Caenorhabditis elegans: one gene and its partner. The protein of the gene in region 1 interacts with the protein of each later gene in a pairwise test. Each region holds a gene or a part of one and is shown on either strand. Other genes may lie near its edges. The genes, in order: ift-81 and osm-3.

Region 1 (6,299 bases):
AAGGTCACACGCCCGTAGCAACTGAAATTTGAACTTTGTTGTTTGGTTGAAAAATGGAGAAAATTTTTTTTGAGAAAATTGGACGTCTAGCTTTCCTATTCACCTGACAAAAACAAACAGCGTTTTCTGTCTGTAATGTGATCGGAAATGAGCATTAGGTTTCGGAAACTCGATAATCACGTGGTGAAAGTAAAAAACTCCTAAGCTTGAAACTTGGAAAACGAGATTGGCCTTAAAAGGTAAAATAGAAATAAAAATATCCTCATAAACTTTTGATCTACGCGTTGAAGGCAAAAAAAAAACTAGATTTCCGGTTTGAACCACAAACCACGCGACATTGCATCATCACATCCGTTCCGAAAAAGGGTTCTTACGTATTTTCAATAAAAACTCACAAGTTTATGAAAGTGGATAGATTGGTCATAGTCTCCAAGGCAATAATAAGTATTTCCTAAGCTGCCGTAGCATCGCCCCATCGTCAGCGCATCTTCCGATTTTTCCGACATCTCCAGATTTAGCCTGCAAATTTTAAAATCTTTATTAGGAAGATTGAAGTAATGAACTCACATAAAGTACTTGGCAGCATTCTCAAAATCCGAAGTGGCTTCTGCATTTTTGGCGTCATTTTTCTCTTCAGCAGCTTCCAGTTTTGTGCATCGCCCTCGCTCCACATAAATCGTCGCAATGTTGTAATAAGCTCGAGATTTGAGAACCTGAATTTTTTAAATGGAAAGTGTAAATTATCTGAATGCAATTAGGAGTTTCATTCTTGAATAATTGCGTTGTGCCTTATTTTGAAAAGCTGAAATATTTCATAGCAATATTCACAGCTGCTTCTAACAAGTTTCTAGGCAAGCATTCTGGAATCTTTTGGAATATACATTTTTATTTGAAAACATCTGAAACTTTTTCACCCAACTCGATCGAGAAATGTTTCAAGCTTCCAGAATGTTTGCATACCTGTAAACTTTCCGAAAACCACTAGAAGTTCGCAAAAATCAACATTGGATGCAATTTCACAGCTCTATTAAATATTGATCCTTTTCAGATGGTTTTTATGGTAGTTCAACGTGCTCTTCTGCCGCTAAATTTTTTGTGGTAACCTAGTTTGCAGGTCCCCTTTCAAATGACATAGATTTCATTCAGAAGTCTCATTGTAGGCTGAAATACTTTCCTTGTAACTATGGTTTATGTTGGAAACTTCGAAGAAAATTTAAGATGGAACTTTGTACATGTTTGCTAGCACGAAAATAATAAATCTCCTGTTGGTATAGCAACGGGTGCATTTTTTTTTCAAGTACAAAATCAAGTTCTACTCACTCTATCGCCCAACTCTTCGGCAAAATCCAGCTGTTTGAATGTGAAGGTGAGCGCGTCGTTGTAAGCGCCTTTCATCTTGAATATATTTCCCAAGTTGGCACACGACTTTGCTTCTCCCTCCTTGTTTCCAAGCAATCTGAAATTTTGTTTATTTTTTGTTTAAATTTCTTTCGCATTCGTTACCTTTCAACAAGAATGTCATACGTATGGAACTTGAGAGCTTGCTCATAATCTTTAAGCATTGTGTGTGCATTTCCGAGCTGACAATAGATAGCCGAGAGTAATGAAAAATCATCTGTGCCTACTTCCAACGCTTTTTTCAACAAGTCGATGCCTGAAATATTCAAATTCAATCAATTATTTACAAATAATAATAAAAAAGAAGTTACCTTTCTCATACTTTTGCATGCGAAAAAGACGTTCCCCTTCCTGTGTGAGCTTGTAGCAGGAACGGTCCTGCATCGCACCTTTCCCCGCTGCAAAAAAAAAATCGATTGATATTCTTCGATGACAAAGATTTCAGAAATCTGCACAATACTAGAAAAAAGGAGAGAAACACAAGCGATTAAGATTGAGAAAGAAGAATCGAAATGTGGTCTTTCAGAACAGAAAGGGTGGTCAATGTAGAAAAAAAGGTATTTGAATGATTTATTCGAACGAGTACGGACCAACAAACTCCTCTGTTTGTTCGTTGCACGGCCGCTCTCAGTACATGGAAAGAAACGTCCTTGCTATGTCTGCGGCAGCTCTCTCGTTCACTCCTCACGACAGATGAGCTAGTAACCGCGCGTTGACGTCATTTGTGTAAAGACGGCTAGGAAGTATTGTTTCGAGCAAAATATTTGTTAATTTAAAATGACAAAGGAATATAAACTGATAGTCTTAAAAGATACATTACTCAAAAAAAAACTCTCATATGAAAAATATAAATTATTACCTTAGAGTATCAAAAGTTCACATTTAATTACCACTCACTCAAAACAAATCTCTAACCACAGTTAATTACCAACAAACTGATTCAACTTGTTCAACTTCTGTTCCCTTTTCAATACTACTTGAAACATTTCACACTCACATAGCAAAGAGCCCAGCAACAACATATATTTACGTCGTGTTGCCCTGGTAACCGGGAGCGCTGCTCGACGAGCTCGCGTTTATTGTCATCACTAACGGTGTATCCTTAAGATGTCGAACGATATTCAAGGGTTTATTCTCCACTTTTTGAATGAAGAGCCGTTCAATCTCAACTTATCATCACTTCAATTCGACCAATTACCACCGCAGCAGTTGCTCCAAATTTTGAGTAATGTTTTGAGGTTGGTTAAGTCAAAAAAAGAAATTTAAAAAATGCGATATCGAGAAAAAACAGTTATGGTGTTTAAAATATTCACAAAAATTTTCCAGAAACGTGTGCTACATTTTTTGTGACAATTAAAAAACAGCTACTTTATTATTATTGTATCGTTATTTTTTCAAGAATTTTTCAAAGAAATATAAATAAATTTTTTTAATTTCTAAAAATAGCTTTACCTTTAATTGTACTTTTGGATGTTGCTCAAAAAAAGGCACAAAGTTACAATGTGCGTGTTAAATTTGCTGGTTGGCAAACTGATACTAATGTCAGTTTTTGAGCAATCTTCTTAAACTTTCTATTGAAAGTAATTATTTTATAGATTGCTGTGTAAATTTAAAAAAAATTTGACACAACAATAAAGAAAAGGGGTATCAGCAGGTCCACTTGGGTAGAATGTTCAAAAAATTCGGTTCTTTCTTATTTGTTTGCAAAATTTCAAAAGTCATAAAAAAATTAAGAAAAATTTGAATAAATTTTTTACAAACACATAAATGCTCTCACTGATAAAATTGAATTTAATAATATAAGAACAACGAAAATTTTTAAAATGTTCAGCTGGGTTTCCGACACGGACCGAATTGATATCAAAAGAGAGGCTGCTGAAGAGACTGCAATTCGTATTCTGAATATGCTCCGAATTCTCCGCTACAGACCACCGCAAGACCAGGATGAACAGTTCGTGCAAAACGAGGGCAATCACTAAACAGCATCTAATTTGACATTATATTACAGGGAAGAATGGCGTGCAGGGATTGTCGAAGGTCGCAAGACTAGCCTCTATCCTCTTCTGGTTTTTCTTTTTGAAAACTCAGAAGGTTTGAAAGAGCGCGCATATTTGTCAAAATATTTGATGAAGGTAATGAATTGCTATGCCAAAAGCCGACATGTTATGCTAGTGGTTTCTGGGGGGAGAGAAATAGATGTTGTCATTATTTTTTTTAAAAGAAAAATGATACATAGAGAACAAGCATCGTTCTGCTTGAATAGCTGATATAGTAGGCAAGACAGCCGAAGTTTTTGGTTTAGTTAGTCTCTGATCTAGGTACACATTGAATTAATGAATCAAGAAATGGCTAAACAGCTTCGCACTTTTTTGTAATTGGAAATACGTAAATTAATTATTTTCAGACAGATGTACCTGGAGAATTCTTCGATTATGATATTGAAGAGCTGCAAAATGAGATTGGAGAGTTGACAATGGAGTTTAAGGTTAATCACATGAGAGATTAGTCGTCACGATAGTGGATGAGCAAAAAAAAAGCAAAAACAAAAAAAAACAAAACAACTTTTCTACAGGAAATCCATGCTGAAATGAAAGGAATAATGGCAGACGTACTCTTGCTTGATGACATAAAAGAGGATTTAAAGTCAATGGAAAAAGAAAAACAAATTTTGCTCCGAAAGATTGAGAAGACCGAGAAGAAAGTGCAGAATATACCATATTTTGATAAGTAAGTTCAAATAATGTGAAAACTTCAAAAAAAAATTGTTCAAAAATAACAGGAAAATGTAGTCAAAATTTAATTAATTACTTGTTTTATGCGAAAAAAAGGAAAATTCGTTTAACAATAGAAAACTAATAAAAGTTTTCACTGACAAGTGAATTTGCTATCTGAATTCATCGTGTTAGAAAACCTCAGAAAAACTGAAAAAGCCCGGCAAATGAGCTCAGATTTTTTTCTTTATTTTTTTTGATTTTTTTTTGAAATTTGTATTTTGCCTGATTTTACATATTTCAAAACATTGAAGGTAAAAAAACAGCTCACTTGAAACTTTAGAGCTGTAAACTTTATAAGCTGATAAGATGGATATTTCCGATCATTCTTGTTAGTTTCTAACACATTTACATTGCTAATATATTTTTAAAGCAATTTTTGAGCAAAGCTTTTGGCCTGTATCGGTATTGCTTTTAAGCTCTGGTTTGACTCATTGTCAAAAAAATTGAATATAAGGCTCATATTTTTACTACAAGTACGATAAAGTCTGCTTCAATCATAATTAAGTAGAAAACAATAAATTTACAAGCTTTTTGCTAAATAACGAGCGCTATGCAAGTGCAGATAGAAATTTGCGGAAAATTGTCCGTTTTTCATATAAACGTAAGTAAGGGAGTTCTTTAGCGTAAATTATAAAAATAAAAAATAAAATAAAATGAATTTAGTATAAAAATAAAACATAAATTTTGGCATTTTTCAAAATAGCCAATCGTTTTCAGACAAATGCAACTTGCATTACAATTACGCGGAGAGAAAACCCGATATGCAGATTTTGCAATTGAAAAACAACAAGAACGGCAGAAGGTTGGTTCTTTGGGAATTCCATTTTTTTATCTCAAAATCAAAAATAGACCGAGTGAAATATTTTCCTTTTTCTTTATCTCCGACGTAATTTTTTTTTGCTCTCCTGACAAAAAATGAAAGAAGAAGTACAGAAATAGCGAGTGCAATTTTTTTGTTCTCGAGTGTGCGGCTTCTTCCTTCTTACTGCGTTTTTTTGGCGCAGCGAGCATCAAAAATCAGAAATTCTTTTCTGTTTAGGTCCTGAACATCGAAGCCAGAATCAACCGAATGAAAATCAATTTGACGGAGGCTCAAGCGGTCGCTGACACATTGGATGAACAGGCGTTAATGGAAAAATTAGAGGTTACTAGACTTATTTTTCTCGTCTTCTCCTATCTAATGACGACAGAGGGTTTCTTAGGACGAAGTTGCGACGAACACTTACTTAGTGAATGGCAAGTTGTTTCAAGAAATTGAATCAAAGGAAAACAAGTTGAAAGAGCTGACAGCCATGGCAAGGTCCAATTCAGTGCGGGAAGAGGATGTCAGTAGAATGAATTCTGAGGTAAGCTTAAAGATACCAGGCTTAAAGATCTCTGCAGATTTAACTTTGGGGAATTTTATGATAAATGTGCAGCCGACAGTATATATGCAACACTGACCTCACGTTTTAATTAAATTACCATTAAAAAAGGAATTAATGCTATTGGAGCACGGCTACTACACAGATACGTTGCCCGAAATACAAAATTTCGAAAGCAAGTTGTTAGCGAAAATTAAAAGTTTTAGCGGGAACTTCAAATTTTCTGGGAAAAAAATTTGGCGAAAAATTTAAGTATTCCGAAAAATTTTTTCGCGGAAATTAAAATTTTCTCGGGAATTTTTTTCTGTGGGATTTTCAAATTTTCTAGGAAAACAAACTTGGCAATAAAGTTTTTCTGAAAAAAATTTTGATAGGAAATTCAAATTTTTTGTAAACAAAAATTAGCGGGAATAAAAACTACATTGATGTTAAAAAACTGCTAGAATGATTTTGCTATTTTTGAAAATGTATACCAAATTTAACAAAAAAAAACATCCAAAATAAAATTGTCGCCCAGCTTAAACGTGGCTGCACTTTTCACTTATTTCCAAGGTGATTACAAAATTAAATGATGTAATTACAGAAAAAAGTTGTATGTTTTAAGAGTTAAAAGCTATTCAAAAGCTTTTTTCAAACGTGGGCAAAAACAAATAACAGAGCCAAAGAGCGAAACAATGGCTTCAGACGTCAGAGAGACGAAAAAATTTTCCAATTTTCGTCTGACCAAAAATATGTTAATTGTTTACTCCCAAGTCATCTTAAA
Region 2 (7,789 bases), on another chromosome or scaffold:
GTGGAATGCGAATTTGCAGGCAATAAATCACGAAAAATCGAGGAATAACGAGAAATTCTGCATCGAAAAGATTCCGAGATCTCGGGAAGTCGGACAATCCTACTTGACGTCGATTGGCTCAACTATCAACGCAACCGCGTTCGCCGTGAAGCTTATCTACAGAATTCGGTTAGAAATCGATGAATTTCTAGTTTAAAACCCGAAAACTTGCATTTCTCGATAATTTTGCGCTAAAAATCTCTTTAAAACCCTAAAATTGGGGTAATTTTCACTTAAAATTTCTGGTTTTCAGATAGTTTTTGAGCTTCTTGATCTGAAAATTGGGCGTTTTCTGGAGAAACTGTCATTTGTAGCACTAAAAATGCCGTTTTTAACGCGTTTTAACGCGTCAAAAATGCAATGATTTCATTAAAAACCTATCAATTTTCATTCTATTCGAGATTTTTAATATGAGAATTAGATTTTTAAGCTAATTTCAATTATGAAAGTCGCATTTTTGAACTGGAAATTGGTCACTTTCAGTTAAAATCAATAATTTTGACTCTGAAAATCACATTTCTGAGAATTTTATTATAAAATTAGACATTCTAAGCTAATTTTAACACTGAAAATCACATTTTTATTGCTTTTTGGCTCAAAAAATGACCATTTTCAGTCAAAATAAATCAATTTTTAGCCAATTTTAGCTGTCCTAACTGAAAATTCGACATTTTTCCATCAATTTTCACTCTAAAAACTCAATTTTCCACTCAAAATCGCCAATTTTCAGTCCGGATCTAATCGTGCTCAACGGGCCTGGAACCTGTATCCCAGTCGCCTTGGCGGCCGCCTTCTTCGACATAATTCGCCTAATCGATACAGTTATTATCTACGAAGAATCGATTTGCCGAGTGAAAAAGCTCTCCTTATCCGGTGCAATTTTGTATTATCTCGGAATGGTCGACTGCCTGATTGTGCATTGGCCGGGGCTCAAGAAATCGTATCCAAGAGCCACGTATATTCAGGATTTGGAGCACAAATTCACGTTGGATGGCTCGGAGAAAAAATCTCAATAAAAATATTAATTTATGTGTCAATTTTAGGGGGGATTTTGTTTTTAAATGTCGGAAAAATTTTGAAATTTTGAAAAAAAAACTATATTTTCCAAAATTTTTAGTGTTTTGAAGAAAACTTTTCAATTTTCTAGAGAAAAAACCTTTTAATTAAAAAAACACAGAAAGATGGAAATTTGGAAAAAATGATTTTTGTGATTTTTGCAAATTTTGGAAAATTCGTTTTTTTTTCAAAACAAAATGAATTTCACCTTTTTAAAAATTCAGCAAAAGTTAGATTTTTTTTTAATTAATTTTTTTGCAGATTAAATTTTACAATTTTTTATCGATTTTTTTTCAGATTTTTTTCCAAAAATTCACGTTTTTTTACGGATTTCCTCTAAAAAATCATTGAAAATCGAGGTTTGCTTCAAAATTCGGTAAAAAATCGAAAATGTTTTTTAAAAAATCTGAAAATGATTTTTTAGTGGAAAATCTGAAAAAATTTCAAGAAATTTGAATTTTTCAAAAAAATTCGTAAAACTACCGTATATTCTCTATTAGTGCGGCACCCCCATCGCTCACCTTTGACGTCATATGTCTTGATTGATTTTGAAGATATTAAGACCTTTTAAAACATTAAGCATAGAAGGAGTTTTAACAAACATTTCCGTAGTTAAAGACTTTTTACCAAAATCAAAGGTGACCGAGATATGAGCTGTCAAAGTTGAGTGGTGGGGTGCCGCACTAATAGAGAATATACGGTACTTTTTTTTCGAAAAAGAAGTAATAAAAATGTCATTAAAAATTTGGATTTTTCTAAATCGGAAAATTCGTTAATTTTGGCTGAAAATCTAGATTTTTTGAAATTTTCACGAAAAAAGCTTAAAATCCGGCTAAAATTCAATTTTCTTAAAAATTTTTTGTAAAAAATTAAATTTGCCTGAAAATCCGAAATTTCTGGTCAATTTTTTCTACACAAAAAAACCCAAAAACTTCGATTTTCCCGATATTTTTAACCAAAACTTTAACCGATTCTTGTATGTATTTTCTAGCTTTACTTGTCTCTATTGTGCTTTATACGCCCATTTCTTGTACATTCCCGCCATTTCAATATTTCCAAAACTAATTTCCGTTTGAATTTATATGACTTTCAAATTCCAGTCATTTTTCAGCCAAAAACCAATCAGCAATGCGGAAATATCAAAATCGACGGCAGCTTTTATTGAAACAATCGTATATAATTCAATTCCCTCAACCCTAGCGGCAGCGTGGCTCGAAAGAAAAAGAAGAAGCATAACAATATCTGGTTGCTAGGCGCCACCTCCCTCCACTCATTCCTTTGCTCTCGGAGCAGCAGTGGTGTATATGCTCGTTGCTCCGCGCGACACCAAACTCTTTTCGTTTTATTTTTTACTACGTCGTTTTTTTTTTGAAATTTTTTTTTCCGAAAATTTTCAACCTTTGAGCTCTTCACATGTTTTATTACGTCGATTTATGTGAAAAAAAAAATTTTTTTCGGAATTTTTTTTCGGAACATTTTTCAATATTTAAGCTCCCACCAACTGTATGGCAGAGAGCGTCCGGGTCGCCGTAAGATGTCGTCCGTTCAATCAGAGAGAAAAGGACCTGAATACGACGGTTGGTTTTTTGATTGGATTTTCAGAAAAACCAGCTGAAAATCAAACAATTTAGGCCTAAATCGAATATTTAAAGCGCAAAAAAATTAAAATTTCCCAGAAAAACCCGAAAAAATTGAGAAAATGTGGAATTTTCGGCGAAGTTCTTCTTTTTAATTAGCCAAAATCATTCGAAATTGGGAAAATTCTAAATTTTGAGTATATTATTACTTTTCAGTGTTTTCCTATTACAGTGCCAGGTCTTGAAACGACATTTTTTGTAAAATACAAACGGGCGTGCGCCTTTAAAGAATACTGTAATTTTGAACTCTCGTTTTTTTTTGGAATTTTCAAAAAAATACATTTATTTATTGAAAAACTGCTACATAAATTTCACAAATTCGATAAAAATTCACAAAGTCGATAAAAATTACACTACTCTTTAAAGGCGCACAGTTTACAAAAAAAATGAATTTTTGCTCAATTTTCTGTATTTTTCGATCATTTTTTTGTTCGATTTTCCTGATTTTTAATAGAAATTGTGTACTTTGTCGGCAAAATTAACCTAAAATCTAGAAAAAATTGATAATAACCTTTCGATGTCAGAATTTAAATTTTACAGGCCGAGGGTCTCACAGCGATTGAGAGCTAGTTATTGTAGTTTTGAGGCTTTTTTCCTGCTGTTTTAAAAGAGTTAGCTGGAGCTAGGAAAAGTTCGAATGATATCTTTAATAAATTTGAACGTCATAAACAATGTTTTCTTTGAAGAAGCCGTACATAATTGCTGACTAAAAAGTAAAAAGGTATTCGGAAAACTTGTGAAAAAGCGCATGTTTCCCCCTCCCCACATCACCTGCTTCACTGGACACATGTGAATGAAAAAACGTAATAAAACTTGAATATTTATTTTTGGTTTAAACATGGTGGCCGAGTTTTCCTATTTTTCGGCCATGAAAAAAGATGTCACGTAGTTCCGTTTACTTCCTTATTATTGTCTACTATACGATTTACCCCCGTAATTTCCGGGAAAACATGTTTTAATGTTTTTGGGTTACTGTTTCCCTCTAGACTATAATATCCGATACATGCTTAGGTAATATCCGTTTATTTTTATTACGAAAATAGGCAAATATTCACTTCGTAGGCGTGAGAACTCTGGTGCGAAACCGTGGGAATTGTAGGAAACTCTACAAAGTTTTCTGGGGGACTAGGGGTCTTCTTCTAGGGCACTAGAGACTGAAAAGCGCTAGAAATTGACAATTTTCTTCTAGGAACCCTAAAATGTTTCAAAATTTCCAGCTATGCGTCGGAATGACTCCGAACGTTGGACAGGTCAACCTGAACGCGCCGGACGGGGCGGCCAAGGACTTCACGTTCGATGGAGCCTACTTTATGGATTCGACCGGCGAGCAGATTTACAATGATATTGTCTTTCCGCTAGTTGAGGTGAGAAAATTTGAAGATTTCTCCTACCAAAGCTTCTAAAAACCGTACAGAACGTGATAGAAGGCTACAATGGCACTGTGTTTGCCTATGGCCAAACTGGATCGGGCAAGACTTTCTCCATGCAGGGCATCGAAACAATTCCAGCTCAACGGGGTGTGATTCCACGGGCTTTTGATCACATATTCACCGCCACGGCTACGACGGAAAATGTGAAATTCCTGGTGCACTGCAGCTATTTAGAGGTTTCAGATTTTTGATCCCTTCCCTTAAATTTTGCTTTAGATTTACAACGAAGAGGTTAGAGACTTGCTGGGCGCCGACAATAAACAAAAACTGGAGATCAAAGAGCAACCGGATCGGGGTGTCTATGTGGCGGGCCTCTCCATGCATGTTTGTCATGATGTCCCGGCTTGCAAGGAGCTGATGACTCGGGGCTTCAACAATCGGCACGTCGGCGCCACGTTGATGAACAAGGTGGCCCTTGACCTGACTCTTTGACCTGACCTCAATTTCTATGTTCAGGACTCTTCCCGAAGTCACTCAATCTTCACGGTATACGTGGAAGGCATGACAGAAACCGGATCGATCAGGATGGGAAAGTTGAATCTGGTCGATTTGGCTGGAAGTGAGCGGCAGAGCAAGACAGGAGCCACCGGTGACCGTTTGAAGGAGGCCACGAAGATTAACCTATCGCTGTCGGCGTTGGGTAATGTGATATCGGCGTTGGTGGACGGAAAGTCGAAGCATATACCCTACAGGGACAGTAAGCTGACTAGGTTGTTACAGGTAAGGACGATTCATTTTTGAGATGATGAGGTGGTTGTTGGGCCGGGCCATTTGAGCCTAGGTCCTGAAGTCTAGCGCGGTAGGAAATGTATGCTAATATGATAAGTGACGGTAGGGATCCAGACCATAGTCATAAGGTATTTGTGGACCACAATTAATGGAAGTGCTAGCCTAGGCTGTAGGTGACGTAGGGAGAAGGCCTAAGCTAGAACCCAACGATCCAAGCCACTGTCGATCCTGCGACCTAGGACGCTTATCCAACTCAAATTTTCCAGGATTCTCTTGGTGGTAACACAAAGACCATTATGATCGCCTGCGTGTCCCCATCCAGTGACAACTACGACGAGACTCTCTCCACACTTCGATATGCCAACCGTGCCAAGAACATCAAGAACAAGCCGACGATCAACGAGGATCCAAAGGATGCTCTTCTTCGAGAGTACCAGGAGGAAATCGCTCGGCTCAAGTCTATGGTTCAACCGGGGGCCGTTGGAGTTGGCGCTCCTGCGCAGGACGCTTTCTCGATAGAAGAGGAGAGGAAGAAGCTACGGGAAGAATTCGAGGAGGCGATGAACGACTTGCGTGGCGAGTATGAGCGGGAGCAGACGAGTAAAGCGGAGCTACAGAAGGACCTGGAGTCCTTGAGAGCAGACTATGAAAGGGCTAATGCGAATTTAGACAACTTGAATCCGGAAGAAGCGGCGAAGAAGATCCAACAGCTCCAAGATCAGTTTATTGGAGGAGAAGAAGCAGGCAATACTCAGCTGAAGCAAAAACGGATGAAGCAGCTGAAGGAGGCAGAGACTAAAACGCAGAAGTTGGCAGGTAAGAACTTCTAGAACTTCAGCAAGTCTTGCACGCAGTAAGTTTCAGCCGCGTTAAACGTTCATAAGGATGATCCTCTGCTTCAAGTCTACAGTACTACTCAAGAAAAACTTGACGCAGTTACTTCTCAACTGGAGAAGGAAGTCAAGAAAGTAAGTCCCTCCAGTTTTACAAAGTGAATAGTGGAATGTTTCAGTCCAAAGGTTACGAGCGAGAAATCGAGGATCTCCACGGCGAATTCGAACTGGATCGTCTCGATTATCTAGACACAATTCGGAAGCAGGACCAGCAGTTGAAGCTCCTTATGCAGATTATGGACAAAATCCAGCCGATCATCAAGAAAGATACGAATTATAGTAACGTGGATCGGATAAAGAAGGAGGCGGTGTGGAATGAAGACGAGAGTCGATGGATTTTGCCGGAAATGTCGATGAGTCGGACTATTCTGCCGTTGGCTAATAATGGTAGGTCTGGATTTGATTAGATTGCAGGCCTCACTGCTAAGCCTGAGCTTTTCCAAGAAACATGTAAGGCGGGATTGCCAAAAAGCGGCCGATTATTCTAGCAATTTGGGATTGCTTTATTCTTCCATCTTTCAGGTTATATGCAAGAACCTGCTCGGCAAGAGAACACCTTATTACGGTCTAACTTTGACGACAAACTACGCGAGCGGCTAGCGAAAAGTGACTCGGAAAACCTGGCAAACAGCTACTTCAAGCCAGTGAAGCAGATCAATGTGATCAACAAGTACAAGAGTGATCAAAAATGTGAGTTAGACCCCTTAGACCTTGCAAAAAGTCAAAAAGTTTCAGTATCAACTTCCAAATCGCTATTTCCATCCAAGACCCCAACATTCGATGGTCTTGTCAACGGAGTCGTCTACACTGATGCTCTCTACGAGCGGGCTCAATCTGCAAAACGACCACCTCGACTAGCCTCTCTGAATCCCAAATAATTCGTGTGTACATTGTGATGTTTAGAAATTTGCTGAATAGTTTGCACGGGTGATATCGAGAATAAAATTAATGAATGTGAGATCTTTATCAATTTTATACAGGTAGCATAAATAGATTCTAATCCAGTTGATCACCGGCTCGGCAACTGCTCACTTTTCGCTTTCGTCAGTATACCAATGCTCTTGGAACTACTCGATGGAGTTGGTTGTCGGAGGATCCCTGAAGAAAATTTTAAGGTTGCAAGTGCGCTCTAAGCCTCACCAGTTTCGTAAATCGATCTCCCGATGAATTGAGCAAGGGGGTCTAACAAACCGGCTTGGGGGTATCCCATCCCTCCGTACCCTCCAAATGGGTTGTAGGACCCCATGGACCCGAGAGCTCCAACACCTGTGCTGCCTGAAACAAAACTCTAATAGTAGCGCACGCCCTGAACGACTACTTACAAGTTCCACAGGACATTGCACACGTCTGCCGCATCATCATTGGATTTGTAGAGCATTGGCCTGAAAAAAACTACAAAATTTCTGCTAGAACTTTATGCTTCGGTCTACCTGTGCTCGCCCAAACGGAGCATTGAGGGCTCAGATCCATGCATCCGCCAGCTCCATACATCCCGCCGCCACCGGACATCATCGGATTGCTACCATACCTGCAAAGACTCCGTGATCTCATGGAAGGCAGGCCGCGGCAGTCGCGTTGGTTTTCAGTTGGAGGATTTGGGTTGGGTTGGGTAATTTCTGTCGCGTCGGTTCTAAACGAACAGATGAGATATGCGAGAAGTGTGGAAGAGAAAGGAAGGGAGAGATGAGAGAGAAGCTAGAGCGCCTGACCTTTCTGCGTCTTTTTGAGTCTCTCTCGCTCATGTACCGCGCGTGACGGGAAACTGTTATAGCTCCGCAACAGTGAGAACTAGAAAAAAGTTGTCAACTAACAAAAAAAATTCAAGGGCTGCCAATTTTCAGTTGACAACTGACAACTTTTCTGTAGTTCCAACCCACGCAGAGATATACTCGCTCAAAGTTAAACTTTAAAAAATCTCACCCATAAACCTGATTCATATACGGATTCATTGGATAGCCCATTCCATAGCCCATTCCGTACCCAGTTCCATAGCCGCTACCGTACC

The links.
Region 2: the proteins of ift-81 (region 1) and osm-3 interact in a two-hybrid assay, tested with the Caenorhabditis elegans proteins (one study listed by BioGRID).

What each region holds. Positions count from the first base shown.
Region 1 is NC_003284.9:5,296,245-5,302,543, forward strand, and holds the start of ift-81 (Intraflagellar transport protein 81 homolog), read left to right. Parts: upstream 1-2,316; 5' UTR 2,317-2,387; intron 2,388-2,420; 5' UTR 2,421-2,451; intron 2,452-2,482; 5' UTR 2,483-2,505; coding exon 2,506-2,636; intron 2,637-3,229; coding exon 3,230-3,349; intron 3,350-3,406; coding exon 3,407-3,530; intron 3,531-3,802; coding exon 3,803-3,883; intron 3,884-3,970; coding exon 3,971-4,125; intron 4,126-4,889; coding exon 4,890-4,974; intron 4,975-5,211; coding exon 5,212-5,316; intron 5,317-5,374; coding exon 5,375-5,518; intron 5,519-5,525; exon of another isoform or gene 5,526-5,546; intron 5,547-6,299. Other genes in the region: ags-3 (Tetratricopeptide repeat protein 28), read right to left, coding at 396-519, 568-713, 1,321-1,456, 1,504-1,654, 1,710-1,782.
Region 2 is NC_003282.8:3,795,259-3,803,047, reverse strand, and holds osm-3 (Osmotic avoidance abnormal protein 3), read left to right. Parts: upstream 1-2,600; coding exon 2,601-2,672; intron 2,673-3,949; coding exon 3,950-4,096; intron 4,097-4,146; coding exon 4,147-4,338; intron 4,339-4,378; coding exon 4,379-4,570; intron 4,571-4,618; coding exon 4,619-4,882; intron 4,883-5,157; coding exon 5,158-5,707; intron 5,708-5,755; coding exon 5,756-5,859; intron 5,860-5,903; coding exon 5,904-6,171; intron 6,172-6,306; coding exon 6,307-6,474; intron 6,475-6,519; coding exon 6,520-6,662; downstream 6,663-7,789. Other genes in the region: algn-14 (UDP-N-acetylglucosamine transferase subunit ALG14), read left to right, coding at 1-168, 770-1,055; K09B3.1 (ShKT domain-containing protein), read right to left, coding at 6,794-6,882, 6,925-7,059, 7,107-7,166, 7,215-7,414, 7,705-7,789. UniProt on the Caenorhabditis elegans protein: Kinesin motor protein which is required for the anterograde intraflagellar transport (IFT) along the middle segment of the sensory neuron cilia together with the kinesin II motor complex (composed of klp-11, klp-20 and kap-1) and on its own, is required for IFT along the distal segment.